Linked DNA regions of Caenorhabditis elegans. The protein of the gene in region 2 interacts with the protein of the main gene of each other region in a pairwise test. Each region holds a gene or a part of one and is shown on either strand. Other genes may lie near its edges. The genes, in order: add-1 and F08F3.4.

What was found.
Region 1: the proteins of F08F3.4 (region 2) and add-1 interact in a two-hybrid assay, tested with the Caenorhabditis elegans proteins (one large-scale study listed by BioGRID).

Annotation. Positions count from the first base shown.
Region 1 is NC_003284.9:4,850,158-4,867,427, reverse strand, and holds add-1 (Adducin-related protein 1), read left to right. Parts: upstream 1-7,384; 5' UTR 7,385-7,391; coding exon 7,392-7,490; intron 7,491-7,726; coding exon 7,727-7,819; intron 7,820-7,892; coding exon 7,893-8,001; intron 8,002-8,323; coding exon 8,324-8,466; intron 8,467-8,585; exon of another isoform or gene 8,586-8,735; intron 8,736-8,861; coding exon 8,862-9,005; intron 9,006-9,053; coding exon 9,054-9,221; intron 9,222-9,567; coding exon 9,568-9,627; intron 9,628-9,684; coding exon 9,685-9,783; intron 9,784-10,087; coding exon 10,088-10,172; intron 10,173-10,227; coding exon 10,228-10,313; intron 10,314-10,374; coding exon 10,375-10,647; intron 10,648-11,191; coding exon 11,192-11,404; intron 11,405-11,453; coding exon 11,454-11,712; intron 11,713-12,006; coding exon 12,007-12,108; intron 12,109-12,216; coding exon 12,217-12,276; intron 12,277-12,372; coding exon 12,373-12,462; coding exon of another isoform or gene 12,463-12,536; intron 12,537-12,554; coding exon 12,555-12,598; intron 12,599-12,953; coding exon 12,954-13,025; and 4 more. Other genes in the region: tsp-14 (Tetraspanin-14), read left to right, coding at 41-316; ntc-1 (Nematocin), read right to left, coding at 852-880, 931-982, 1,031-1,143, 1,200-1,317; F39C12.1 (GATOR2 complex protein MIO zinc-ribbon like domain-containing protein), read left to right, coding at 14,363-14,418, 14,490-14,574, 14,631-14,827, 14,874-14,990, 15,758-15,853, 15,908-16,357, 16,406-16,520, 16,567-16,788 and 3 more. UniProt on the Caenorhabditis elegans protein: Membrane-cytoskeleton-associated protein that promotes the assembly of the spectrin-actin network. Plays a role in time-dependent memmory loss and the retention of conditioned behavior over time.
Region 2 is NC_003283.11:5,405,249-5,418,712, forward strand, and holds F08F3.4 (L-threonine 3-dehydrogenase, mitochondrial), read left to right. Parts: upstream 1-5,706; 5' UTR 5,707-5,865; coding exon 5,866-6,109; intron 6,110-6,167; coding exon 6,168-6,345; intron 6,346-6,394; coding exon 6,395-6,627; intron 6,628-7,191; coding exon 7,192-7,461; intron 7,462-7,543; coding exon 7,544-7,695; 3' UTR 7,696-7,753; downstream 7,754-13,464. Other genes in the region: dmsr-7 (G-protein coupled receptors family 1 profile domain-containing protein), read left to right, coding at 122-207, 275-487, 1,343-1,486, 1,683-1,941, 1,990-2,120, 2,169-2,294, 2,506-2,646, 2,711-2,785 and 1 more; C25A6.1 (Serine/threonine-protein phosphatase), read left to right, coding at 3,280-3,603, 3,987-4,115, 4,186-4,261, 4,308-4,381, 4,427-4,567, 4,618-4,695, 4,743-4,823; F08F3.10 (uncharacterized protein), read left to right, coding at 8,163-8,172, 8,376-8,461, 8,510-8,635, 9,245-9,364, 9,406-9,566, 9,625-9,748; F08F3.6 (F-box domain-containing protein), read right to left, coding at 12,994-13,186, 13,239-13,464.

The DNA.
Region 1 (17,270 bases), on a different chromosome or scaffold from region 2:
ATGTCTGAGACCATCTTTGTTTTAAAAATATTGTTTTCAGACAAGGCCGAGACCACCGGATATTCCGCCTCCGCTACCACCAATTGAGCATGTGCCGAGGAAAAAGTCACGAAACGCGAGTAGCTCTCCAACTCGAAAGCCCAAATCTGCTGGGGTTGAAAACGCGGCAGCTCGTCGAAAAAGGACTGCGACAACGACTCGAACACCTCCTGCCGCGGCAGGACCCGCGCCAACGCCACAGGCAACCACGACAAATCGAACGCATCAATGGGTACTGCAGCAAACCGATTTGGTTCCTCAAAAAAGCAAATCATAAATGTTATAGTAAATGATATTCAAATTTAACAACTGTTTCAGTTTCATACATACCAAATCTTTCTGTCTCGAACGCGGTGATATAACTTATTTTAGCCTCCCATTTCTTTCTGCCCCCAACTCAACCTCCCCCCCACCCCATCTCTCTTTCCAAAAATTCATCTCCTATCTACCTAGACCGATTTTTAAATTTGCCATACACAATCTGGTGCTCCATAGAAATTTGTACCACTTTCTTCTTTCCGCTCAACAGAGTTGGCCATGAGCAACAACTTACTTTCAAACATCGTCTTTTCTTGTTTCATACTTGGGTCGCCAAACAAGTTGCCTATTCATTGTCCGGAATTCTAGCCATCGCTTTACACTTTTTAGCTTGTTTTTTTTCTAAATTGATTCCTCGATGTTGTAAATAAAGAATTTCAAACATTCAAACGACATTTATTATTAATATTTCAAATTTCAAAGCACAACAAATTCAAAAAAAAGTTGGTCGCTTGAGAGTTGACATTCCTGAAGATTTTGCTTGCTTGATCCGTTTAACACATTGCACTTGTTTGACATCCACCTGGAACCAAACTTGTATAGTTTTACATTTTTTAAGTTTCAAAAGTGTACCTTGAGTACAGCAGTATCCCTTTTTCATGCAATATCCTGGGTGGTGTCCAATCTAAACTTCCGTCACATTATTACTTATTTCAACATGCTAAATTCAAACCTTGCAAAAAAGTTCTGGGCAAACGGCACTGTAGCTGCACTCGGTTGACATGAAGCATTCCTCGTTGGTGCAACACCTTCCCTCAGAAATACAAACTCCTTCGTTTTCTATTCCTAAATTAGAGCATAAGATAATTTTTTGTTCGGATTCCTTTAAATTTTTAACTTACCACAACTGGAACAGCGAATAGTTCTACCATATCGCCTGTACGGACAAGAGTTCAGGAAACAAGCACTAGCTAGGCCGATCGAGATGGCGAGTACCAGGAGGATAGGTGAGGAGCCCATGTTGGAATGGAAAGTGAAGATTGAATGACAACGAATGGCTCTTTCCTCCTCGCCTGGATTTTGGATTTCATCGCAGCTCCGCCCCGCTGATAATCGTCGACTTAAACCGCTTTATTACGACTGAAATCCGCGCGTCTTGTTATTTGGCGATAAGTCGACTCACGCGTCCTTCATGTATATGACTAGCTTTTTTCTTTCATATTGAAAGCTCTGAAACACGGATTTAGTGACAGTTTCTTGGGATGTGTGTCAAAACAAGTCAGGACGTGGGTTTGACAGAAGTTATCAATTCAAGTGACGTGACTAAGATTTGATTTGAAAAATAATTTCAAAAAAAATGCACTAAATTATTTCAAAGGATCAGTAACGGTTCTGGGAATTTTGAACGTGTAAACTCAAAATGTGCTCAAATAATCGAAAATAGTAATTGTTCAACTTTGTTGTACGGCGGTTTGTTTTCCGTGTCGCAGCTGTCTGAAATTTACTGTTTTAAACTGTCATTTTTAAATTGCATGTTTCGGTCGTTTACCAATAATTTAAGCAAAGCCAACTATGACACGGGACAAAATTGAAGGTTTCTGTTAAAATTTGGTTTTTTTTCAAAATATTGAAGTGCCATAAAAAAACGAGGGAATTGCAATTTCAACCCTCCAAGCTTTTGCAAAGCTTTGACAATTCCGGGTAACTCGATGAACTTTACAAGTTTTTTCCAGATGGTTACGGACAGAGCCGTACTGTTAACCTGGCTGAGCTGATCGGTTTATACTCATTTTTTGTTTAATGCAGCTATCTCAAAATCACATACAAAATTCGTCTAAATAATAAAACCAATTGGCACATGACAAAGAAATAATTATTAGGATGTTATAGAAACATTCGGGGTACGATTTCTAAGAAGTAATATACCCTCACACAATTTTAGCAATTTTGGCAGAATTTTCTTTTTTCCAGATATTTTACAACCAGGAGTTCCCAAATCTGCCAATGGATATATGGATATAAGGATATAAGAATTGTCGAAAATAAAACGTAAAACGTGTATTTTGCTGTCACCGTTTTTTTTTAGATTTTTGAAATACACTTCAAATCAAAAAAAAATTATTTTTTGACACTTTCAGAAGAATTGCAGACTTCGTCGATTGCCAAAAACTTCCGAAGGTTTCAATAATTCACAAGTTCCCAACAAAATTCAAAATCAGGTTACAAGGTGTTTTTTATGAGCAGAAGTGAAGCAAAAAGTGTCAAAATTTAGGGCATCTGTTTGGAAAATGTTTTTGTCGTTATTGAATAGAAACTCACAATATGAATCTGTAGTTTGCAATGAAACAATTGTGACGTGTTATAAAAAATCATATGAAAAGAGATTACGAAAATTGAGAAAAAAGGAAGTACAAAAAAACAAAAATGTTACTCAAAATATACTAAATCCGCATCCAGATTACATAGAAGTTCATTGATGTAAAAGTTTTACAACTCATTCACTCACTCAGAATCTACAGACTTCTGACATAAAATTAAAACAACAAAAAACGGCAAAGTGAACATTCTCCAGTTTCGAATATACGCCAAATAGCTAATTCATCAAATTTGGAGCGCACATTGGTAAGTGTTTGAAAAGATGCGGCATTTGCTCTGGGGGATTGCCGCGACTTCACGACACCGATTTGTCATCTGGAGTCAACTGGCATTATCTGCTGCTTTGGTGGTATACTTGTTGCTTTTACGAGCACGTCAATGTGTTACATGCTCATAAATTAGAGATTTTCTACAATCATTATTGCCAGCAACAAGTTCCGTTGTTCCAAAAAAATTGTGTTGTCTTAAGAGGAGGGGCCCTTCTTGTGTCTTCTCCGAGATTCGTGCCTCTTTTTGTCTTTTAGTTCTGCAGAGACTAACTGCGTACTTTAAAGCGACCAATTCCGTACTACTAGAAGATTGCTCTAATTCCATTAGGCTACATCTTTCAAACTGCCGCATCTGGGTCACCGTTACTTTTCCCCACTTTTCTCCCAATTTTTCCAACAAATCCGTTTTGAGCACTCAATCTCGAGTTTATCGTGTTTTGATGACTGTTAGACGCGTAAACGCGTAACACATTTCCAATGGGCATCAGCGTTTTTTTCTTCTTCTGAACAACTTGATAGATTGTTGCGTATTCTATCTTCACCCGTCAGCTGAAATGCCGTTTTTTTCGGAGTGCCTTTTTTCGGTAAGACCTTGTTGCTCCACATTTTTTTCACGCGTAAGGGACTTTTCTCGCTCGTTGTGCATGAATTTTTGTCTCGTTGCCCTCCCATCCTCTCCACTCTTCCCCCTGCTTTAAAGATTTGGCCCTTGTTCTTCAAAATTTTCTGCAAGCAAAAAAAGATAGAAGGAATATTTTTCTGGTCCCCTCCTCGCACCCCTCCATGCTTATTGGCTTTAGCCAACAGGATCATATTTCTAAACGCAATTATCTACTTTCAAAACGATCTCATGGCATCTAACTGAAAGTGTGGTTGTGGTGTTGCTTCTTTTATTTCTATCTATCTTATAGTTTTTGTTTCATTAGAAAAGTACACTAATCGTTACTTACTTCTGTTAAATAACTCAATAATTGGCGTCTTACCATTCCTTCGTTCAATTAGTACTGCATGCAAGCTTTAAATATATTTTTGTAAATTTGAATTTTTCTTTCTTTCATTTCTGCAAGAATTTCCAGCACTTTCAAATAAAGAAAATGTAAAGCAAAACAAAACACGAAAATTTCGAAAACTTTATCTCAACACAACAAAAGTGCATGCAGAAACTTCTAAATTTCGGAAACGTTCATTCTGAGAAACAATTTTTGAGAAAGTCTCAAAATAGGAAGAGTGACTAAATTGTATGGTCCGACATTTACCTGGTTCCCTAGACTAGTTTTGCAGGGTTAACACAGTGCGGCGCGGGGCCCGGTAGATGTCGGACCAGACATATCTTTCACACTTCCAGTTTTATGGTTTTCTATAGAAAAAAAAAGTCCCTCGGGTATGTCTTTAATTTTGGAGTTTATGCAAACATGAAATGCATATTTCTGTTTTATTTAGGAACATATAACATTTCAAACATCTCAAAAATAAAGTACCGTATATTCTCTATTAGTGCTGCAAGCAGCACTAATTTCCAGGCCCTTTTTGAGTGCAGCACTATTAGAGACTGCGGTACTAATTTTCGAACGACTTTTTTCAATTGGAGATCACTAGTTTTTAGTCACAAATGCTCATCTTTTAAGCAGAAATCCATTAAAATTGAGAAATTTTGTAACAAAAATGACCCAATAATTCAATTATGTTTGTAAATTAACTAGAAATCTTCAAAAATATACAAAAAAAACACTCCCCAAAATGTCAAAACTATTGAGTGACTCTTTCAGTAGAAAATGGGGTGCAGCACTAATAGAGACTGCAGTACTACTGGAGATGCAGCACTAATAGAGAATATACGGTAACAAGGTGTAATAATGTTTGCGGAAATGTAGTAATTCCAGAGTTCGCCTCAAAAGCACTTTTTCATTGAAACTTCGAAGCTATCATTCTCTGATCACAAAGATTTAAAAATATTTACAACCACAAACTGTAAGATTCTTTGTTGCCGGATCCATGTTTCGCCAATGTTATTGTTGGACGATCTAATTATTCAAACGCACTCTCTCCGACCGCCTTGGGTTCTTTAAACGAAATGCAAATTCGAGTGCGTGTAAGATAGACCATCGGGCGGCTGGTGCATGGTCTGACAAATGTTCTATTCCATGCCTCCCATTTCACACTTCAACTCATTATTTGTGTGTGTTGTCGGTCGCTACGAAATGCTCCAAATGGCACTATCTAGATGACAACTGATAGCACATCTTGTGTACTGCTCCTCTTTTTTGCAGAATAGTTTTGTTCCGAAAAAGTTTGCCTGTTCATATTCTTCCACTTCTCGCTTTCCAAACTCTCTTCTTCTCAATACGTTTTATTCTCTCTTTGCCTTACGGGCACATCAAATTTTTATGACAACTGTTTCGAGCAACGAGTATTGTACAGTAACGCAGCGAGTTTATCGATTCTTTTTCTCAGCGTTCTCTGACTTCCTATTTGATTATTTGGTTTTCCACGCAAAACTGAATTCAAAAATCATATCACTGTTGTTGAGCTTTTGTTTTGAATAGCAAACAGTTTAGCTTTCGAAATTCGGTGTTTTCAATGAACCGTAAGGCGTGTTTCGTCTTTTCTCCAAGCCAAAAGATACACAACAAATGAACACTGCCTTTTTGAGTCTCCAGAAACCGATAGACAACCTTGATTTGAATAAAGATTCTGTTTCGCTCAATTGACAGCAGCGATCTTTTTTCAATTCTTTCGTTTTTCTCACTTTCTATTTACTTCCCTAACTTTTCTCAATAAAAGTCTCCAAGAAGGGTAATTGATTCAAGGTGAGGAAAAAGGGCGAGAGATACATGTTTTGTTTTCCTGTTTTCTCCACTTGTTCTTTTTATCAGATCTATTTAATCAAAAAGGTTAAAACAAATAGTTTGTTTTACTATCGTCACCATAGGTGTGTGTGCGTGTGTGTTTGATATAAGATTTAATCGCAATTCGGCATGTTTCTTCTATTGTTGCCGCATTGGTTAAACACCAGTTTGGGGTTTTTTTGGAAGAGTATTTCAAGTTTCTGAAAGTTAAAGCATTTCAAATTTCAGACTAAGAATTTTACAGTAAGTGGTATTATAAATAATTGCATTGACCGCAAATTATTGAAAAAGCTTAGAATTTTTAAATAGAAATATTGTTTCAGCATTTCGTAGTAGTGCTGCAATATTATCTTATCGGAATAATTAATCTGAAAAGTTCAAACCGATTTTTAAATTTTGACAAATTTATTTTGAGTTATAAAACTCTGTTTGCGGAAAAATGGTTACTTTCCCAAAAAGTAATGAAATCTCACAAAACTAATTGGCCTAGCTCAATTCGAAAATTTCCACTTCCATTTTGCTTCACCGTTCTTTTTCATTTGAGCCACCCTACTTGTGCACCACTCGGACAAGTGCATTCTATTTATTCCATTTTCTTTTCATTGTGATTAACCATCCTGAATAAAATGTCTTGGGTTTTCTGCTCGGCGCCTCTTTCTATCTTTCTCCAAAATAGAGTACATGTAGACTTGAGTTTCTTTTCGGTCTTCCTTTTCTTCCCTCATTCCTTAAATTAGATTTGACATAAGAAGAACTTTATCGCAACAGGCGGATACCTTAAGGTTCTCATTCTTGTTTGCCGTTTATCGCTTCCATCGCAGACAAAAGTAGTGTGTTGGAGAATTTGACTGACGCAAAAACCACAAACATTTTAGGGTCAAATTCACATTTCCAATTAATATTTTTCAATATTACCGTTTGCCATGCTTCATAGGTAATTAGATGTATACACTTTCTCATGGCAAGTGTGCCACCCGTAGAGCAAATGTTATATAACGCAGGAGGTATGCAATAACCAAATTTTGTATACAAATCAGATGGCTCGCCATCGAATAGTCTCACGCTGAATGAACTATTTTTCGATCAATTCATGCTTTTTAGTACAGCTTTGTGTAAGCTGTGTGCTAGTAGAAATGTCAAATTATTTTCATGAAATTGTATACATCCGATTTAGCATATCTTAAAAAATCCTTATTTGTAAATACAGTTTCCGATAACTTGTGAACCCTTTTTTACTTAATTTGATATTTCAATCTTTAGTAAGTTCAACTGTTAACACCTTTATAACAGTTTTTCATCTTGAAAAAATGTCTAAAAATTTGACAAACAGAAATTTAACGTTAAAAGACCAATAATGAAACAGGAAAACAAGACAATATCAAAAGTAGGCCATCCATTTGCGCGGGAATTTAAACATAATTCAGAAAATCATCGCACATTTAGAATAATTTTATTATTTTTATTTTTAAATTCATATTTGTACACTACATCCCATTTTCATATTTGCAAAGTAATGTTTACTTTTCTAAACTTTGTGATTTTTTCTTGAATTTCAATATTTCAATCTCATTTTCAATTTTCTTAAACTTCAATAAAGTTTCAGATGATTGGAAGAAAAGAGAAGGAACGGGAACGTCCATACTATCGAGACCCAGATGACCCTGAATATATCAAAGATTTGCAAAGACCGGCAGTAATCAAAGTAAGTGCTGCTCCAAGTTTTTCCGTAAAAAAAACTAGAGCACATCAAGTTTTCCCTCCTCAGCTCTCTTTTTTCTCTTTTTCCAAGAACTTCAATTAATGAAACCTGCCATTATTAGCGCAGTGTCATTTTTTGAAAAGACTTGGGAAATTGAATGGAAAATGCAAGAGAAGAAGAGAAAGGAGTGCTCGCTCTTTAATCAGCTTAAAAGATGGATGAGAAATGCTCTATTTTAGGAGGATTTGTCAGAGATGGAGAGACGGAAAAGAGTGCAACAGATACTTGAATCAAAATCATTCTGCCACGAGCTAGAAGAAGTTATTCGTCAGGTTTGTAATTTGTCTTTTTTCTCGTTATTTTGTTTCAATAAATGTAATTTTGTACAAAACATTTTACATCTAGGAGTGTGATACAGCACGTACGGATCCGGATCACTTGCAAGTACTCCAGAAACTTTCGGACCTCACAGTTCCACAAGGAAACATGTCGTTTGGCAACCTTCACACATATGGTTTGTATTATATTTTGGAATAATGTATTCGAAAAACGGATAACTTGGTTTTTTTTCCTTATTTTGACAAAAGAAACTCGATTTATGCTTATTCACACGAGGAGTTACAACATGTTATAATGCAGAAAACTTTCCTATACGAATTTTAGCTATGCTGAAACCTTGTGACACAAAAGTAGATATACTTTTTTTGTTTTTCTAGTAAAGTATTATAATATCAAAAATCTAAGATTCCCATGCATAAACAAAATTGCAATATTTTTACAAACTTGAACTTCTGTAAGTTGACAATTTCCGATAAATCATGTAATCTATGTTTCAGGTGGAAACACCATTGCAATTGCTGATCTTCGTGGAAACGAGAAGTATTCAAAAGCGGAACGTATCCAGAGAAACAAATTGGCATGCTTGTTTCGACTAGCTGACCTGTTCCAGTGGTCACAAGGGATTCATAACGAAATCTCGGTAGGGTGCTTGAAGTATTGACTTTTTAAAATTACCACAAAAATTTAAAACTTGAACCTGTGGTTTAAAGTAAAATTTTGCAATCAACCAAATTTATTTTACAATATAGCAAATACAACGCGTGTAGAAATTGTATGAATTTCAACTTTATTAAAATACGAAACTTCTGAAACAGCTGCCAAAATGTAAGGATTAATCAGCTTTAAATTGGGATTTTTTTTGTTCAGTGTTGTGTTCCGGTTACACACCACTTTATTTTCCGACGTGAGTTAACTAGCAGGTCCATTAACGACGTGTTTAAAAAAATGTATTAAAATTATATTTCTATGAAACTTCTACAAAAGTAAAAACACCATATTTACCTTTCTAGAAGAATTTTAACAAAATTGATTTAGTATCGAACCAACGATGAGGATAACACTTTTCTGATGAATCCATTTGGTCTTCTCTACCATGAAATCACTGCTGCGACCATCGTGAAGATAGATGAAAATGGAAAAATTCTGGATTGCGGGACACTGAAAGCTGGAGTCAACCAGGTACCTTTAAAATCAAAAACGACTTATTTTTGCACTCATCAAGTTAAGCCTGCGTTTCTTCTTCATTCTGCAATTTACAAAGCTCACCCAATGGTCAGATGCATTCTTCATATGCACACGGCAATTGTGGCGGCTGTGGCTAGTATGAAATGTGGTTTATTGCCTCTATGTAAGGAAGCAATGGTGCTTGGGCCAGTTGGATATCACGATTATCAGGTTAGCAAAAATATTGAATTTGAAGAAAAACAATCACTTGTGTGGTTATTTTCATAATCTGAAAAATTTAAGTGTGAACGAGAGAAAATTGAAAATCTGAAGGTTAAAGAAACTAGAAGCAAAATCGGCAACCGTTTTTTAAAATTATTTTTTGATGATTTTTTTCCAGTCAAAGTTTTGGTACTTTGCCAAAATTTGAAAAAGTTTATCATGTAAATCGGTAGTTTTAGTACTTAAAGTAGATATAGAAAAGTTCATCGTCGACCTTCGAACGGTTTAAATTTTCATTAACCTTTCACATGACTTTAACTATAAAATCAAAAAAATTGTTGAATTTTCTTTTCAGGACATTGGTGATGATGATATTCAATTTGACGAAATTATTGCAAATCTTGGAGACAAAAACGTGCGTTAGCTTTACTTTGAACTGCTTTTCTATCCGCTTTTCTATGCTTCGTTTCAGGTCCTTTTCCTCCGCAATCAAGGATTCCTTGTTGTCGGTGACACTATCGAGCATGCCACTTTTCTAGCCAACAACACTGTGATAGCATGCGAAACTCAGGTTTTTGAAGTTTCTCATATTTAAAAATTACACGCTGCCCTGCCGCCAGTAGTTCAATTCTATCGCCAAATGCTTATTTTTTATGAAATGACGATGGGATTAAAACATTTAAGGTTCTGCTGATCAGAGGAGAAGGATGTTTTGTTGTTGGAAATTCCGTTGAAGAGACATCTATAATTATGCGCAACTTAGTCACTGCTTGTGACCATCAGGTTTAGAAAAGTTATAATAAATGAGAAATATTATTTCATATCAAATACAAAATACATAATCAAAGTTTCCAAAAACAAAATATTTTTGTAAGGTACGTGCCGCAAGGGCTGGACTTGACAACCTCATCATTCCGGAAGAGAAAGCAATACAAAGAGCGTTCAGAAATTCTCGAAATAGTAAGATTCTGCAATATATATTGAAATTTAAAATACATCTATAATGCTTTTGTAGCGAATTCCCTGAAACGAAATGGAACAGTTGATTGGAGAGTCGGAGAATTAGAATGGGAGTCTTGGATGAGAGTGTTGGATCATGCGGTGAGCAGAATTTTTTCGCCCTGCTCACAGTTGTTTCACTAAAAATTGCTACTAATTATAGAATTTTCAAACCGGGCACGTCTATCGTCAACCACAACTGCGGCCCAAATCTGCAATGTCTACGTCAATGGTGAACAACAATGATGTTGCTGTTCCGCCAACTACATCAGCTTATGGACAAATTGATGAAACAAACTTGGAAAGTGTATCTGCACATCGTCTGGCTTTACTGCGCAAGGAGCAGGAGCGGGTTCGTTGGATGAACAGTCCAAATGCATATCAGAAGGTTGAATTTTTGGAGTATGGAGCAGATAACCCAAAGAAGATAACTAAAGTAAGAACTGTTTTCAACTTTTGCAGTACGAAAATAAAATTTGTACATGAACTTCTGATGGTTTGTGTCATTATGTTTACACAGTTATTTTCATATAAATGTACAAAAAAATTTGAAGAAACATTAAATTAAAAACTATAAACAGAGATTTGAAAACCCAAATAGCTATGATATGGGTGGGCCCTACTAGTGAATTTTTGTTTTGGATAATTTCTATGTCACTAATTTTTGGATTGTTGTCATTATGCACATTATGAATACATGTTATGCTAACGCAATAAAAAAATGTATTTTTCAATATTGGAGTAGTGTCAGAAAATGTTCAAAATTGCTCCAATACCAACTATCGATTCAGGCTGTGCCTAATTGTGTTTTGAAAATTTTGATCCGCAATAAAAATATGTATTAAAGTTTTTTGAGAAGTCTCATTATAAAATTCGGTCGCATTTGGTTATTGAGTTCAAATTAAACATCTATGATAAATCATTGGAGAAAAAATTAATTTTAAAGTGTTTTAAATTTACACAAGTTCAAATCATTTCAGTGGGTTCATGACGTCAACGTTCCATCCGCGAGTGGAACCCCTGTCAAAATCAGCAGTGTTCATCAATTCAGTCCTGCGTCTTCAAATCCTAAAGAATTTAAAGAAAAACAAAAAGCTATCAAAGAAAACAACAGACTGGGAACTCTTTCTGCTGGACCACAAAGCCAGATTTTGGACAGTGTGACATATGAAGACATTGCACTATTGATTAAAGTGAAATATCCCGTCTTGAAAATTCATTTATTATTTTGTAATCTTTCAGCCTGATAATGACGGAACAGTCGGACAGAGCTCGACCGCTGACCGAGCAATACTTATCGGAACTGCCAGCAAGGGAATCATTGATAGGCAATTTCAGCATCATGCTCAGGTGTACCACCAAATCTATGCGCCGAATCCATTCTCTGTAGAAACTGATGCAGACATCAAGAAATATGTAGACATGGTGAAGGCCAAGAACTCGCAAAGCGCTCCTGTCTCAGCGAGAAGTGGTTACTCTCAATACGATGAGGTTGAAGCTGGTAAGGTAGCTGAAACAAAAAAACAGCAATTTTTAAAGTCGTTTTTGAAAACGAAAACTGAAATTCCTTTATTTAAAACGTAATAAAATAAAATAAACACTGCAAAAAATCCATGTTGTGTTGCGAGTTTTTAACTGAAAATCTGGGGTTCAAAACACTTGTGGGATGCCACTTGTTTTGAGTATGTTCTTTTTGGCTCCACTTACAAAATATATTTTTGAAAATATATTGCTGACAAAGGTCTAAAAATAGCTTCTCTAGTTGTAACCAGCCGATTTTCAAAAATTATTCCAGATACAGTTTCCTTAATGCAAGGAGTACGAGAACATAAACTTTCTCAAGCGGCTCTGAGCGCATCTGACGACGGCCTGAATGCCGGAATCTCCCCGAATAATGGTAATTTTTATGTGGTTGCTCCTTCACATTTTATCGATGCGCCTGTTTTCTATCGCTTTGTTTTCCAGTGTTTTAAATTATTTGAATGCCTATTTTCCATATTTCCAGTCCGAACTTCCGAAGAAAGCGTCAATACGTCGTACATGAGCCAGTCAGTTGTGTTCGATTGTAGGTTTATTTTCCTTATTCTTTCTGTGTAGCATGTGTGTGGTGGCTTCAAAGCTTTTTATAACTTTCACAGATTTTCTAACTCTTTGTGTACAGGCGATCACCCTTCTCCGATGTCAATTTCGACAGAGTACCCTGAAAAAGTTAAAATGACGCGATTTTCGTCGACTCAAGGAACAAGTGAAGGTATATTTGTAACTACGTGGTGTCTATTTGTGTTTTCACTTTTTTTTCGAGCGCATCAGCTAACTAATCAATAACTGAGTTGTAACATTTAGGCAATACAACGTCTCGATCGTGCACTACAGCGTCTGAAGAAGAAGTAAGAATTTTTGGAAGCAAATAGTTTTTCAAATGTTTCAAACTTAAAAAAGAATGAGGTTTCTTGCCATAAATAACAGAAAAACTATAAAGTAATATATTAAATTTTTAATAATGTTTTTTTTCAAATTAGAAGTTTTTTTTTGATATTTTAACAATTTCTGAAAAATTTTAAAAAAATTCAATGAAAAAATTAAACTTTTTACAGTTGTATTCTCTATATATAAACTGTTTTCTGTTATTTTGGGCAAAACCCCACTGACTCTACTCTACCTTCAAATAAGATTGAAATATTTGCTAACTTCTCTGCTTTTGGGACTAATCAAGCACTTATTTTACACCGTTTTTTATTTCAGAAGCCTACAAAAGATGAGAAAAAGAAGAAAAAGAAAGGATTTTTGTCATTTATGCGAAAAAAGGACAAATGAAAAATGAGAGTTTTGCTCTCACCTTGCTCTCACCAACACGTTCACATCACTTAACTCTAACACTTTTCGATAACTTTTTCTATGTTTTCTTTTCAATTTTCAGATCCGGATATACTACGCCCAATTTACCGTCAAGAAACATATGTCTAGTCTCTGGACTTTTCTTTCTTTCCCGTGAACTTTCAATTCCGGTTATGGATAATAGCAACACTCTGTGCTTTGTCTTTTGTTTTTCGAATATTTTTAAAATGTCATTTTGTACGCATATTTTTTTTATATTATGTATTTGCATTTCCATCAAGTTTTTTATACTTTCATCTATAAATAATTATATTATATTACAAAAAAAAGCCAGGACAGAGAAGAATTCGGCAAAGTGACTACGAAAATAGCTTTTCTCAACGAATTTAGCAGATTAAAAAAGTTATCCAGTTTATTTTTGGTTGTTGCTATAAAACTCAAAGTGCTCGTTTTCCAGACACTTTCCTTGGAATATATGATAGTTTTTACACACGTTAGATTATCGATTTCCACACCAACTCTAGTTTCAGCAAATTTCTTCGGGTAATCAAATTAACTTTCCTGTAAAAGTCTGAAAATTCGATAAATTATGCTACAAAACAGGCTTTTAAATATTTTTAATGAATGAATTTAGCCGGAAAAATGTTACAGCTAGATCATTTTGTGCAGGAAAAAAAATAAGTTCAGTCTTCTTCTATTTTTTTCTTTGCACAATTGAAAAACATTATTTTGATCATTGTATGACTTTTTACAGTTATGTTTGGAACATTGTGATTATTTACTGTCATTTAGGGTAAAAACCGCCTAGACATATTCTGTAGAATTGCAGAAAAAAATGCACAGCGCTCTTGGCCACTATTTGGCACAACGAATCTTACACATTTTGATTTTTAAATTGTTTGTTCTTGTAGAAATAACAAGTTTTAGTTTCAAAGTTTGATTTTTTGAATTAATGAAAATACTAATTTACGGATAATTTTATGGTAACAAACATGACACTGCACCATGCTGATAACAATATTTGCCTTCATAACCCTTCCGACAAACTAACGTCTGCCCATTGAGTGTCGCCTCATTCGACGGCAAATTGCCATTAATACATTCTCTGTTGTGTTGTTTAGACTATCCATCTGCGTCTCTTCCATCGCAGCGTTGTCTCGCAAGTGGTCGTGGCCGCGGCCGAAGATACGACTCGAAGATAAAAGAGTTGGACACTCTTTGTGTTTCAAACCTTATATTCTAATGTGTTTCTTTTAGTTTTATTCACTAAACTTCAATTTTTTGCTAGCCAGAATTTCCTTTTCAGTTGTGTGACAATGACTGATCCTGACATTGGATTTGATGACATTTTTAAAGAAATATGTCCAAATGAGTGAGTTATTTCATGGTTTGAAGTAGAAAATGAGTTATTTTACCTGTTTAGAAACGTTTATTTTGTTTCAGATTCAACGAATTCGGATTGAAACGTGAGATGCGTTTTATCAGTGAACGTATCATTGTTGAATATGACCCAACGGACCATTTGTCGGTGAGTTAACGAAAAATAATGACATGGAAGAAAATCAATACCTAATCTTTTTGTAGGTTCGCGAAATCATGCATCCGATGGACGCGTTTCGTAGCAGTGAACCATATTTTAAACATAAACTGACTGACAAATCGAAACAGGAATTTGTGACTGCAATCGACTTTCACGAACATATCACTTATTTTCCATATTCCAAAAATACCGGTGACATTTGCCTTGCCCGGTATATTAGTAATTTTAACGATATCAACTTGTGAGTCCGGAATCGAACGTTTGTCAACTTATCATCAATTTTACAGCACCAAAATCAGTGGTCAAAACCTTTGCTCATTGCCTGGTGAAACCATCTACGGGTTACGTGTTGGACGACTCGACAAAGGAATGCTTGCTGTAAATCATAGAACAGATTCTTCTGTGTAAGTTGCATTCAAATATGTGCGATTCGAGCAAGGGTAGAATTGAAAAAAAATCAGCTATTAGTCGAAAAGAAACGGCATAAGTTATGTCTTCCCTAAGGCTTTCATATAGGCGCCAAGACGCCTGCCTGCCTGTTTTTAAAGCAACGTTTGCCGACATCGCGCCTACCCGAGCCTGATGCTAATACACACGAACTTTTTTCAAAACTTTCTTAATGTGATTTTCATCAACATTTATTAAAATTATTCAATCAAAAACTTGAGCATAGACACCAAAGTGCAGGAAAAAGGCGGCAGGTAGGCATTAGGGTGCCTGCCTATCATGAAAGCACCCTATTTTCGATTTACAGCTATTCATATTCCAAAAATCGTGATAAAAGGACGTCAGTGGCATTTTTTATAATTATTATATAAAAACATTTTTACGTTATCCTAAGAAGTCTGAATGTTACACGCGATAAATTCCAAACACAATCAAACATATTTTCAAATCAAATTAGCATAAAACATCACGCTTACACAATTTTGTTTGCATTTAAATTGAAAAAAAAAACTACATGAGTTATGTTTCAAAAAACCCGCGAAAACATTTTCGGAAATAAAAAAATGAGAGAGGGGGGAGGCAGTGAGAGTGATTGTTATGGAGACAGTTAGCCTAGAAATGGAAGGAGCCCCCGCGGGTCTCACCACGACATTGGCGTGATTGCGTAAGAGATGATTATGTTTGAATATTACTCTAAATAAAAACATTGAATAGTAATTTTCAGAAATAGCACAGTAACCGTCATTGATCTTGTGAAACCAGCACGGAATATTGCTCACTACGATTCATATTCCCCTGTAAATACTATTGATTGGATTTGGTAGGTTTTTTGTGGCCTTAAAATGTTTTATAGTAATTTCCTCTAAATTTTCAGGCATGGCCCATTTCTTCTTGCTGTTGGAGATGATGAATCACTCCGTGTTATGGACGTCCGATGCCCAAAAGCTTTCAATGCAGTCTTCTTCGATGGTGGTGTTCAGAAAACAGCTCTCTGTTCGACAAGACCCCTTGAAATTGCTTGCTGGAACGGATCCAACGTCCTCCTGTACGATGTTCGGCGGCCAGAAGTGCCGTGCGCTATTTATGATATTGGACTTGAAAAAAACGAGAGCATACTCGATATGAAGTTCAATCCCTATATTACCAATGAATTATTTGTACATACTAACAGCCACCGCGTCTTTGCTATGAATATGAACCCAACTCATCTAATTGGAGGACGACCGATTTCTGAAAAACCATATCGGAAATGGCAGGTCATTACGTTTAAGCACATTGACAGAGGATGCACTGCAACTCGGCACACAATGTTGCGACGCGAAAAGTGAGTAGTTGAATTCTTGTAATCATTTAATTTTCAATTATCTTTTAGAATGCCTTACGAAGATGCAGAAGTACCGTTACTGGGTTATTACGGGCAGTATGAAGCGGCAAAGAATGACCCACAAGTTCCGATTCCTACTTTGTGGACTTATCCTGCCGAAGTGGTTGGTGTTTCTTTCAAAAACCGAACGAACACTTGTACTTTTTCAGGACATGAAGTTCCTGGCTAAAATTCAAGACGTCCCTGAAATTGATTACGAGTCATATTTGTACAAAGCAGTTGAACGAGTTTCCGCGGAACGAGATTTTAAAATTCACAAGCCAAAGATCTTGTACCAGGCAAAAGGAGTGGAATCGTTTGATTTTGTATTTCCGGGTGTTAACGGTATCATGTGCTTTGATAGAAACACATTTACCTATAAAATTGTCAGGGTTAGCTGAATATAGTTTTTAAACTCTAAATATTCATATTTCGAATTACAGAGTCCTAAACACTATGAAGGAAGCGTCAACCCGTACGCAGGATCCGACTCGGTGTTTTTTTACAGAGGTCTTCAGATTCAAGAAATGATTCCTGCACAAACACTGACCATGATGTGTAACAGGTTAGAAGCTGGATGGAATGCTTATCAAGTATCCGAAAGATCGTTGAAAGGTACACTTTGTCAGTGCTTGTTGATTATAATGAAAGCATTTTAGAACTGGCCTTCAAAATCACGGAAGAAAGTCGATCGGTTTGGGCAAAGTGGCTTCACAATTCTGTCATCATTCAGTATGGAGGCAAAGGTTTGAGTTCTTAGAGAACATAACTCTACATTAACTGGTTTTGCTTTCAGAATTTGGAAACATCGGTGTGAATGACCTCGAATGGGAAGACCTTGTTCCACTTCCAGACGGACGGCTTCCAGAAGTGG
Region 2 (13,464 bases):
AACACAGAACGCATTCCACCCTGTTGCTCTTGGCTTCTTCTGATTTTCTCCTTATGTTTCTTTGTTTCAATGGTCTTTAAAAACCCCTTAAATTTTCAACATTTTGAAGGATGTGCTAGATATGGAATGTCCGCACGATGCTCAGTTGTTTGATCCGAACAGTAACAGTACGCAGGCATTTCTTCGGAAACTTGCACATTTTCAAAGGTTTGTTAAACTATTTTTTGTGCACTTCTTTCAAAAAAAGAAAAATGAACCAATGATTAATTGTCAGATGGTACCAGCCAATTCACGGATATGTATGTGTGCTCATCTGCGTTTTTGGTATCTTCACCAATTTTGTGCATGTGGCAGTTTTATCGAGACCCAACATGCGCAATTCGGCCGTCAACTGCATACTGACAGCAGTGGCTGTCTGTGATATCGGAACAATGGCATCCTATCTCATTTATATTATACATTTTGTCTTACGACGAAATAATTCCTGGTAATTCTTGTGTGTTTATTGGGTGGAAATGTTTTTGTTTTGGGAAATGGAGCGGCGTGGCGGCTTTTGAGTAGGAACATCAACAAATATGGAATTTTTGGAAAAATAACACAAGCTTTAAAATATTTATTTTCTGGTTTTTCCTATTCCAATTTTATGGTGAATTGCAAAACCCGGAAAATGTCGGTCACTTCATAAAAAGGATGTAGAGTTCGAAGGCGCTGATTGGTTTAAAAATAGTCATGGCTTCTCATTTTGGAAAAATTCAAATATGAAAATTCGCAATTTCAAAAATTGGACATTTTTAAATCTTTCTCGATTTTTTAAGTTTCCTTTTTTTTTGATTATGCAGCATATATTTGAATATTTCGAATACTTTGAAACAAAATCCTTATTTTCCAAACTCTACCTCAAACCATTAATAACAAGAATTCAAACTAAGTGTGCTCTTTCTATTGAAAATTTTGAAGGATATTTATATTCTTCTATTTTTCCACTCAAGTATCAACACACACACACAAAAAAACATCCTCAAAGTAATAATGGAATTTCAAAAGTTGAATGCCCATGTTCGTCACTTGCTGCACTTAATTGAAGAGGCATAGAATTTTAGTTGAACCTGGAACTATTTATTTCCTCCTATCCGTTTTATGTGCATCAAAACATGAAAACAACTGCATATTTTATTGATCATAGGAAATTTTGAAAATCGTCACAAAGCTACAAACTACGTGTATTCATAAATAACAAAAGTGAATTCAAGATGAAAAGTCGCTCGTAAAATGATACTGAAAAACACGAAAACAAGCGTTTGCAATGAAACTCAATAATTTTTATTATTAGATTTTATTACAGCACTCCAACGTTCACTCATTCTTGGTTACAATTCCTATTGTGGCATGTTGTTTTGAGCATCACACTACACACAACTTCTTTATGGCTCGCTGTGGCGATGGCGTTCATTCGGAGGATGACATTAAGGGTTACCGCTTTGAATAGGTATGCTGGGAGCAAAGTTTAAGGGACTAACATTTTTTTATACACTAAGATGAACAAGTTTTGTAATGAAAGTTTTCAAAATTTTTTTCAAACAATGGTAGGTATCCAAAAATATTTAAAATTGAAATTTTACAAAGACATTGCAAGCAATATACCCAGAAACGTTGGCCCCCTTAAAAAATCTGGAAATTTTCAGTCAATGGCAACGACCAAAGTTCGCATGGAAGTTGTGCCTGGGAATCTATATGGTCGTATTTGTACTTTGTATTCCAAATATGCTGGTCCACGAAATCGCCCGTGTAGAAGGAAATGACTGGCGACCTGGCAAAACGTGTCAAAAATTTGCATCGAACTACTCTGAACCGGTGTACACTTTTATGGTCAGCCACGCGGCGACTATCAACAATTGCCGGTTGTTTAAATGGAATATTTGGATGATTGGAATTCTGTTCAAGGTTAGCGAGTACGCGAGTTATCAAATTAAACGTCCTACCAGTTTTCAGATCATTCCATGTATTCTGCTAATTTTCTTGTCTTTCGGCCTTGTATCAAAGATTAGAGACGCAGAAAAGCATCGGAGGAAACTAACGAGTGTTCCGTCAAATGCATCAACAGATTCAAAACCATTGAAAAAGTATAGTCAACTCTCAAAGAACTTTTATGACAAAATGGAAATTTTCAGAAAGAATGGAACATCAGATAGAACCACATTGATGCTTGTTGTTATTTTATTGGTATTTTTAATAACGGAGTTTCCACAAGGAATCATCTCGATTCTTTGCGCAATTTTTACTACAGACGTTCATAGGTAAGATTTGATGTTTAACTAGAAATTTGGCCTGGAAAAACTGAAATCGAACTGCCCCAAGCTTGACCCAATTTTTCTTGAGTCATTTGAATTTTTGGAAATTTGGGTGCAGGCTGAGTCTTGCAAAAGTGTTGCTAAATTTTTGTTGGCCCAATTAAAGCTAAAATTGGGCGCTAAAGAAGTTTTCGAAAAATTAAATTTTCCATTTCAGATACCTCTATTTCTACATTGGTGATGTTCTTGATCTCCTATCGCTTGTCAATTCCTCTGTAAATTTTGTTTTATATTGTGTGATGTCTTCAAGATACCGGCAGACGTTTTGGGAAGTTATCATTCCTTCGTGGGCTTGTGGGTAAGTTCATTCTTATTGAACCAGTTCCTGTTACAGTAGTCTAAAATAAAATTTTTCCTCTCAGATTGTGGACGACCCGTCGTGGTTCTCCGACGGAACTTTCACAGCTTCAGTTGAACAACAGCTTACGACTAGGAAGGTCAGTTAATTTGTTTTTGAAGTCTGGAAAATATTATCTTTAATTTGCAGAAAACAAAGCTATACGCCACTGGCAACTGAACCGGAACCAGCACGCAATGAGTATTGGCGGTATGAAGCTTCCGTGTCGGACAATCAGAACAGCAGTAGAGAACATCAACTTTAAATTCCAATTTTTTCGATCTCGGTACAAATTCCCTTTGCAGATTTTTTGTGATATCTTGCTCATTTTCATAGCTTTCGCATTTTCTATTCTATTCTTGTTACGGGTACTTTTTGTTTTTTATTAATTCAGTTTTTATATAAATCAATATGGTTTACAAAATTATTAAATTATTCACGGCGCCGTGAAAAAAAAATTGTTTACAAAAAGACACGTAGATGTGAGTAAAACTAGGAAAAAAAATTATTTTCAATTGAAAGTGATTTCCGAAAGGTGAGTTCTCTTTTTCTCTTCCAGGAATCAAAAGTTAAAAAGGTTTGATGTTTTAGATTATGAAAGACGACGTCGTTGACAACATAATAATTGATGTCCTGAGCGCTAGTACTCACGAAAAGCTACTTTCCGAAGTGATCACGGAAGGACGAGTTCTAAAGCTTCTCGATTTGGCACTGGATGTATTTAAAAGACAGAAATCAATGGTTGAAATGAATGCTCCGATAAAGGTGTGCGGTGACATCCATGGACAATTCCCGGATCTTCTTCGTCTCTTCCATCGTGGTGGATGGCCGCCGACTGCGAATTATTTATTCCTTGGTGACTATGTGGACCGTGGAAGATTTAGCATTGAAACCATTGTTCTTCTTCTCGCTTATAAGGTTTGTTGCTTTAAGTTTTGCAAAAAGAAGCTAGGATCAAAAATTGTGACGCGCCAGAATTAATCATTGACACAAAGAATGCCAAAACAGGGGATTTTTGCAGAGACCGCTTAGATTTTCCAAAATAAGCGTACACATGTGATAAATAAATGTGTTTTCAAAAAGAAACATATTTATTGTCCATCACATATTGCTCTGCAAAAAAGTGCGCATCTCTCAAGTATCAAAGTGACAGAAAGTTGATGCTGCTCCGATGAGCTGTCAAATTTGAAAAATGACGTCAACTGGAGTGATGGATCTTTTGGACGTTTATTTCTCTCTCCCGATCTTCCAAATCCCATGGCGTGAACTTCTTTGAAACATTTTTCAAGTCATGATTCCAGGTGAAATTCCCGGGCAATTTATTCTTGTTGCGTGGAAACCATGAGTGCGAGTTTGTCAACAAGGTATATGGATTCTATGAAGAGTGTCAGAAACGCTATCAAAGTGTTCGCATGTTCACGGCTTTCCAGGTAAATTTGATTTTTTACCAAAATTGAACAATAAGGTGCAATATTAATACAGGAAAAACGGTACTTTCAGGACGTATTCAATTGGCTTCCACTCTGCGGACTCATTGCTAATAAGATCTTGTGCATGCACGGAGGACTATCGCCTAGTATGTCAAAGGATTTCACTTTGGACAACCTGAGAAAAATTAATAGGCCATGACGGCAAGGAGAGACTGGTAGCTGATCTTTTGTGGGCCGATCCTATTAGTGGTCTTTCTGGGTTTATGGTAACTTTCTGATAAGAAAAGATCGATTTCATCAACTTTATTCAGGAAAACAACCGAGGTGCCGGGTGTGGATTCGGAAGAGATGCTGTTCTGAAAGTGTGCTCCGATTTTAAGCTTGACCTGATCTGTCGTGCCCATCAAGTTGTTCAAGACGGTTATGAGTTCTTTGCTGGTCGGAAATTGGTGGTATGAGTAAAAAAAAAGTGCCGAGAGAAAGGAACATTAAAAATTTTTAGACAATCTTCTCGGCTCCTCATTACTGTGGTCAATTCGACAACTGTGCTGCCTTCATGTCTTGCGACGAGAAGCTTCAGGTAAAAATTTTTAATTGAAATGTTGTAATAAATGTGCATTCTTACAGTGCTCGTTCGAAATTCTCCGTCCAACGAGTGGCCGCCTTGAAGTTCGCGAGAAACCATTGCTCAAGGATGAAACAAACTGATGGATGGCTGATTCATAATTTCCTTCAATAAATGAATAGACAAATAAATGTGGTTTTGATATTATTTGTAAAATAATAATTTAATGTTTAAAAGTAATATTTGAAATTTGGCCAACAACCTGCCCAGCCAGCTTGACAAACAACGACACCTTTCCGGTAGAAATTTTCACCAACTTCCCGTCTTTTTTGAGAGAAATATTGCAGTGGAGATCTTAACAGTGGTGATCCCAACAGTTATCCCAAAACTAGAATACCACAACACTTTAAATTTTTAACTGATTTTTCAATCTTACCAGTCTATGTTTTGATCTTTTTATCCAAAAAATTGAATTTATTAATATTTTGAGAGACCTCAATTAGTTATATTGGCTTCAGATCCTACATTTTTCAATCATCGTGACTAGCTGAAATTTCTAATTCGGATAGTCCAGCCAAGGCAAGACGGGTGTCATATGTTAGACTTTTAATCATACAGTCACGCTTGTTATTATATCATCCCACGTGGCATCTAGTCAGTCACACTACTATTAGTCACTCTACTTACTCTTATAATTTTTTCAAAAAAGCCTACGAAAATCTTTAAAATCTGAACAATCTGAGTACATCCGTACCAAAACTGTATCCCAAAGTAACTTTTTAACGAAACACGTGTTTGTCTCTAGGTATGCGTTGGGAACAAAAAAGGTACATACTTATCTTTGATTCGTCTCTCTAGCAATTGGGGGGGGGGGGGGGACAGGCCTTCAGCAGGCAGCATCCGTCAAATTGCGTGATAATTGAATTAGACAATGACCACGTGTGGGAAGAGGACAAATGAGTGTATGTCTTCGTCGTCGTCGTCATCAAGTTATAAGATCAACCCTCCACCCATTTCGTTGAAATCAGAAGGCGTCGATGTCTAAGTCTCTGATCAGGCGACCTCACTGGTTCCTCTTTTAAGAAAATTCCCACATAACTACACTTGATTTGATTACTCATTTTTCTAACTGTTAACTTTTTTGATTATCAACTGTTCTTCGTCTGCTTCCGTGTCACACAAAAAATGAAAAACTTGCGAGTTTTTGGAAGAATTCACAATGCCAGAAGAAACTATTCACCTTTACCAGTTGATCCTTTATTACGGTTTAAAACAATCAGTCAAACACAAAAAGCTCCTCGAGTTTTAATCACTGGATCTCTTGGGCAGCTTGGAAGAGGTTTAAATTCAGTCTACAAGTACATGTATGGATCTGAATGCGTTGTTATGAGTGATATTGTTCGTCTTCCTGCAAATGCTACAGATGTTTGTAAGTTGAAACTGCTTTCCATATTTTCAACAGAAAATTAATTTATTGTGTATTTTAGCCGACTACAATTACCTGGATATTTTGAATCAAGGATCTATTGAAGAAATCGTTGTTAACAAAAACATCGACACAATTGTTCATTTCTCTGCACTTCTATCAGCTGTTGGAGAAACAAATGTTCCGTTGGCTCTGCAAGTGAATTGTAGAGGAGTTGAGAACATTTTGCAAGTTGCTGCGTAAGTTCCTACTTGTATTGGACTATATCTTGACATTGTATTGTTTCAGAAAACATAAGCTAAAAGTGTTCATTCCATCCACAATTGGAGCTTTTGGACCAACAACTCCAAGAGAAAACACTCCAGATCTTACAGTACAATGTCCTACAACCATTTATGGAGTCAGTAAAGTATATGCAGAACGTCTCGGAGAATATTTCAATCATCGGTTTGGGGTTGATTTCAGAAGCATGAGATTCCCGGGTATTATCTCAGCGACAAAGCCAGGTGGTGGAACTACTGGTGAGTAAAATTATATAATAATTAAACGAGAATTTGAAACTTTTTTCCTTTAAAGATGAAGTACGGTCAATTCTAAAATGACCAAATATTATAATAAAACTTAGAGAAAAAAATTTGAAAAGGTGAAATCTCAGTTTTCACCTATCTTTTGCAAGTCGTCGATTAAAAAATCAGAAAAAAATTTCTTACAGCTGTTTGATTATGTTGAAAATGTTCATAGTTCAACATTGGGATTTGAACATGCAACAATGTTTTAGATTTTTTTTTTTTGAAAAATGGCAAAACTCAGTAATTGCCACTTTCTGACTGGCAATAAAAATTTTCCAAAAACTTTTGGAAAAGTTTTACTATGAAATTTGGTCCTTTTAGCCCTATATGAATGGTTTCGAATTACTTCCCAACTAATTTTTGATACGACCTTTTCAATTAGAAAGGTTTTGTAACACGATTAGAGATAATTTCCTTGCAGACAAACGGTATCAAAAAGTGGTCAAAGTTGATCAGTTGATACATTTTTGAAAAGAATATTTCTCACGTACACAGTCAAAACTATCCTCCTTTCAGACTACGCAATCCAAATTTTCTACGACGCTCTTCAAAAAGGCAAGCACACCTGCTACCTTCGACCAGACACACGTCTTCCAATGATGTACGACACTGATTGTATGGCTTCAGTCATTCAACTTTTGGCTGCTGACAGTCAATCATTGAAGAGGCGAACATACAATGTAACGGGATTCTCATTCACACCAGAGGAAATTGCTGATGCAATTCGAAGAGTGATGCCAGGTTTCGAGATTGATTACGATATCTGTCCAACAAGGCAGTCTATTGGTAGGTGATATATGATCATTTTTGCAAGTGGACTTGCAAAAAGAAATACCTCTTTTAAAAAAACTAAAATAATTTTTTTCAGCCGATTCATGGCCTATGTCATTGGATGACAGTGAAGCACGTAAGGATTGGGGATGGAATCCAGAATATGGTCTCGATGAAACTGTTCAAGTGATGTTCGCATTGCTGCGAAGAGAAGAAGACAAACCTACAAAGATTGTCAGTACTGCATAAAAACTGGTTATTTAGGCATTAATAAATCATTTGATCTACTTGTTGCAAAAATAAAAGTGATAGAGAGAAAAGTTTACACTTGGAACGGATAGAAAGTATCAATGGGTGCAAAATGGGTGTATGACACAAAAGCAAGTGGTCATTTGAACAGCATTTCAGTTAACTGTGGGGTTATGAGAAGAATTAGAGTGCAATTCATGAACACGGTTGTATTTTTGTCAGCAATTTAAAAATTGACACTTGATTATTCAGAAACATCAGTTGAGATGAAAGAATATGCGAAAATCGAATAAAATTTATTAGATGTTAGTGATACATAAGGTTGAGAATTAGAGTGAGAAACAACAATGTGATTGAAATGAAATGATGGTGTAACAGTTGTCAACTGAGCTCAACATTCTCTGCTCCACTCTTCGTTTTGTTTCTGCTTTGAAGGTTGTAGCTGGGAATCATAATTTACAACAAAAATGATTTCAGGTAAGTTTCACACATATATTTTATATATCAAAATATAAAAATGTTTTTTTATTTCTAAAAAGCAAATAATTTAGTCTAAATTTAAAATTCTTGGGTTCTTACTTTTAAAACGTTTTTTACAAACCAAACCAATTAGAGCAACTAATTGAGACATATTTTCATACACAATTTCCATAATTTACGTTCAAAATTTTTGTTTTCAGGAAATCCATATTTAAACATTCAAGGTCCTTTTGGAAACTTTTCAGAAAATGAAAAAAAGCAGACTTGTTTTAGGCTCCGTATTCAGGTTTGGCTTGCAATTTATTTTTTTGCTTCAGAAAATTTAATTTTTCAGACCTGGGTTTACATACATTGTGGGATCAGTATTGCTACCTCAATAATTGGAATCACGCTTGGAGTATTACTTTTGGTCAAAACAGAATGGCATGAGAAATTGTTTATTTATAAATTGACGTTTGCAGTAAGTTTTTTTTCAAATATTTAACTTCAAAAGTGGAGAAAAGCAATTCGGTATTCTGATTTAAACCATAGAAAATGGACCGTAATGGGCAAATACAATTGCCAAAAAATTGAATAAATAATTTTCCAAAAATGTTTTTATGATTTTTCAATTTTTAAAAAATAAAAAGGGCTAAAAAAGGAAAAACGTTTTCTGGCTTAACTAAATGGATTTTCGCTAAAATTCGAGCACAATCCATGTAAAATCTGTTTGAAACCAAAAATTGGATGTGGGCCGTATTTGTAAATTTTTTATGTGAAGCAGTTTTCGAGCATTTAAAAAATTTAACAAAAACCAGTGCATTTTTGTCCAAAAGCAGAAAATGCTTTCATGAACTTTAACATTTTGAAAGTTAAAAAAAATCAATTTTGTTTTTGCAGTTAATATCGACAATATTGACTTTCAATTTGCTTTTTTTTATACTTTTATTCAAAAATATATTATGAATAACCTATTTGAACAAACTCTCAAGCTCGACAAGGAAATCTAATGACAGTAAAAACTGTCTGAACCAAGAATGTCATATTTTAAAATGTTCATACTTCTCTCCCAAGTAATTTTTCATTTCAGTACATCCGACGTGCTGATCCCGTACGATATTGGATTGCATATCGAATATTTTTCGGTTTTTGGATTTCTCTGCATTCTCTTCACTTGCTTTCAATAATTTCCACAGTTGTAGCTGTACATGTATGTTTCCTTTTCAGATTTTCAAATATCATGTCTTTTAGAAAAGCAACCTAAAACTTCTTAAACCGCAACTTTTGGTTCTCGTGCTTCAAATTGGGCTCTTCGTTATTGCCATTTCAAGTTTAGTCGTGTACAGTATGACTGGATCTCGCGTTGCTTGGTTTACCCTGATAGTTATAATATTTCATACTTTATTTGCATGGTAAATTTTTAATTCTTAAATTAAAAAATATCCATACAACCAATAAAATAATTTCCAGCACAAACTTGTATCTACTCGCAAAATTTCATCGGTTTTTGGACGAGAAATTGATGATTCTAAACGAAATTCTGAGCGCTCAAGCAAAATCGGTACACTTCAAGGACGACTCATCGAACTCTTAATTGATTAATTGAATTTGATATTCAATATTGGAATTTCACTTTGTGAACGTATCAAATCAAATAAATTGATTACGGTTTTTCTAGAAAGCAAGACTAGCGGGCCTATGGGCCCGCCAGCCCTTCGGGAATGGGGATAGGGTTAATTCGCTCTAAGTTATTAGCAAGGTAGCTGGCGCAGGTTCTCGGCTTCGCCTCGAACCTGTTAACGGGTTATTCGAGATCTCTTTGAAATTATTTCAGGAGTGGGGTATATGTTTAGAAAACTTGACTATTCAGGTTTGAGGCTTCGCCTCGAAGCTCTTACTGTGTAAGCGGCCCTCGAACCTGGTTGTTAGGTTTGAGTAAATAACAACCGCGTCGCAGGCCTACAGCCTGCTCTGCTTAGAATAGGATTAAAGCCAGCCCACAGTTTTCAAGAGTATTCGGGCCTGCGGCCCTCAAACCTGGTTATTAGGCTTGAGTGAATAACATATCTGCTTAGAATAGGATCAAAGCCAGCCCATAGTTTCCAAGAGTGTTCGGGCCTGCGTCCCTCGAACCTGGTTGTTAGGTTTGAGTAAATAACAACCGCGTCGCAGGCCTACAGCTTGCTCTGCTTAGAATAGGATTAAAGCCAGCCCACAGTTTTCAAGAGTATTCGGGCCTGCGGCCCTCAAACCTGGTTATTAGGCTTGAGTGAATAACATATCTGCTTAGAATAGGATCAAAGCCAGCCCACAGTTTCCAAGAGTATTCGGGCCTGCGGCCCTCAAACCTGGTTATTAGGCTTGAGTGAATAACATATCTGCTTAGAATAGGATCAAAGCCAGCCCATAGTTTCCAAGAGTGTTCGGGCCTGCGGCCCTCAAACCTGGTTATTAGGCTTGAGTGAATAACATATCTGCTTAGAATAGGATCAAAGCCAGCCCATAGTTTCCAAGAGTGTTCGGGCCTGCGGCCCTCAAACCTGGTTATCAGGCTTGAGTGAATAACATATCTGCTTAGAATAGGATCAAAGCCAGCCCATAGTTTCCAAGAGTGTTCGGGCCTGCGGCCCTCGAACCTGGTTATTAGGCTTGAGTAAATAACATATCTGCTTAGAATAGGATCAAAACCAGCCCATAGTTTCCAAGAGTGTTCGGGCCTGCGGCCCTCGAACCTGGTTATTAGGCTTGAGTAAATAACATATCTGCTTAGAATAGGATCAAAGCCAGCCCACAGTTTTCAAGAGTATTCTGGCCTGCGGCCCTCAAACCTGGTTATTAGGTTCGAGTGAATAACATATCTACTTTTTGGAAAATCGTGAACGCCTGTGGGCCCCCAGCCCTTCGGGAATGGGGGTTGTTTTAGAAAACTGAAAATAATAAAAGCTTTCTAAATCAAACTTATCTAAGAGTAATCGCATATCAGGCCTCCGGCCTGCCTTGGTATAATGATTTCAGGTTTACTGCGTCTTCTAAGAGTAAGAGTGCCTGCGGCACTCAATCCAGCCAATCTGGGCTTAAAACAGTTGTAATCGGACAGCAGGCCTCCGGCCTGCAATGCCTGAAGTATATGTTCAAAGTGAACTTCTTCTTAGAGGAAAAGTGCCTTTCTATGTTTTTTTTGGAAAGAAAACATTTTCCAGCCACCCGCACTCATGCACTCTCTTGTGAGGACAGGCGACCTGTGAACAGTTATGCACTAAAACTTCAATCCGTCATAACTTTGCTCATAGTAGAAGTTTGAAAAAAATAAAATAATTTTTGAATTTGGCGTAAAAAGTAGAACAATACGGCGGTTATTATTTTAAAAAAGAACAAAAATTGAAACATATCCCCTTCTGGGAAGGCCTGGAAGCTCAAAACTTCCCTAAATGTGCTCAAAGTTGTCAAGACCCACCAAATTTAGTTTGTCTACCTTGCTTTAGTGAAAATTATCAAAATGAAAACATAAGATCACAATTTTAGTTGAAAACTTGTCCAGGAACAGTGGAAAACTGGATTTCCACGTGCAAAAATTAAATAACCTATCTCCGCGAAAAATGATCGGATCGAGCTGTGATTTGAGATTTCATTTTAAATCATTCTATTAATTCTAAATTTAACATAAAAACCGGAACGATAGTGGAAAGTTTGTGAATTTTATGGAAAAATGTAAATTGCTTGAAAGAAGTGTTCATTTTTTCTATTTTTGAGACTATTATTTACCTTTTTTGAAACAAAAAATTATATTTTCCGCTTCCTCTCGATGTGATGAACATTTTTCCAAAAAAAAAATTTGGAAAAAGAGCAAGACTAACGGAGATTTGACCGAAACAATGGTGAAAATGTGGCCGAAAACACACCAAATATGAAAAGGGGAGGTGGGTGTGTGTGTGTGTGTGAGAAAAGGGGGGAGGTGCAGAAATTTTGGCAAAACTTTAATTATCGTTTTTAAAATAACGAATAGAGATATCACAATGAACTTAGATACAATGGATAGGCATTGAAAAGGAGAACTTAAGTTTCGAGTCTCAAACGTTTTGAACATAAACTCGAATTTTCCTTCAATTTAAAGTGGTTTTCGGCCAGTACTTCGGTGTGCGCAAAAACAAGAGGGGTGTGGTTTTCCGCTTGTGGAGCCGACAGGATGCTCCAAAATCAACCCCCTTTTAGATGAACACACGTCGCTATATTTTGTGAATGTAGAGAAAAGAGAATTTCAAAAATCGGTTCCGTGAGAGCCGAGATATAAACGTTCAAAGTTGTATTACATTTTTTCGGACATTTTTTGAACATTTTTTGAACACCGAAAACGCGTGTGTGTGGCAAGATGGGGGTTTTAGGAAGGAGGCAGATGTATTTTTTAATTTTGCGACCATTTGCCCGCGATTCTTTTTTAAATATAAACGGAATAATTCAATAATTATGAGCAATTGGATCAGTTTCAATAGGATAGAATTGACTACGATTCCTCATAGAATCTACTTATAGAATCTATAGAATCATAGAATCTAGATTCTACTGAGGAGAGTGTAACTATCAAACCAACTGTCAACTCACGAAATACGTGCAAAATATCAAGAGAAAGAATACAACCAATTTTTTAAAACATATTAACTTTTTTATTTGAAATTCGTTTTTTTTTCATATTTAAAAAATATTTGTAGAGCACCAAAAAATCGAAATGTTGCACCCGCTTCTTTTGCAGAATCATCGCGTTGTGAATTAATATTAATCGTTGATATTAATCAATTGATACATATAAGGAAATAATTTTAACATAGTTATTATAAACCAATTAGTTCAGAAATTCACCGGAACATGCTTAGATGTTACACGATATTTGGGATTATATTCCGGGAAACGTTCGTGCCAGACAACAAACATAAATGATTTTGGCTTGTTCACAATTGTGGCAAGCATTCCGTCTTTTCTTCTTCTAACGTCGATCTCGTCTCGAGCTTTCATGATGTATGGGCATTCGAGGAAGTCCATTCTGAAAAGAAAAATAACAATAAATTTCACTGATGACCATAATCAAAACTCACACAACATTTTCATGTCTGCGCTCCGGATGCCATCCCTGAATGTCCAAACCTTGGATGATGTGTTTGGGATGGAAGCCAGAGTTGTTATTGTGGAAAACCTCAAATCTTTGCAAGTTCGGACAATATCCGGACACCCAGCTCCTGATGAACGCGTTCATATCTTGAGTAGTAAGCTTGTGAGAGGCCAGCACGAGTCGAGTGAAATTCAGTCTTAGGAGTATATCAC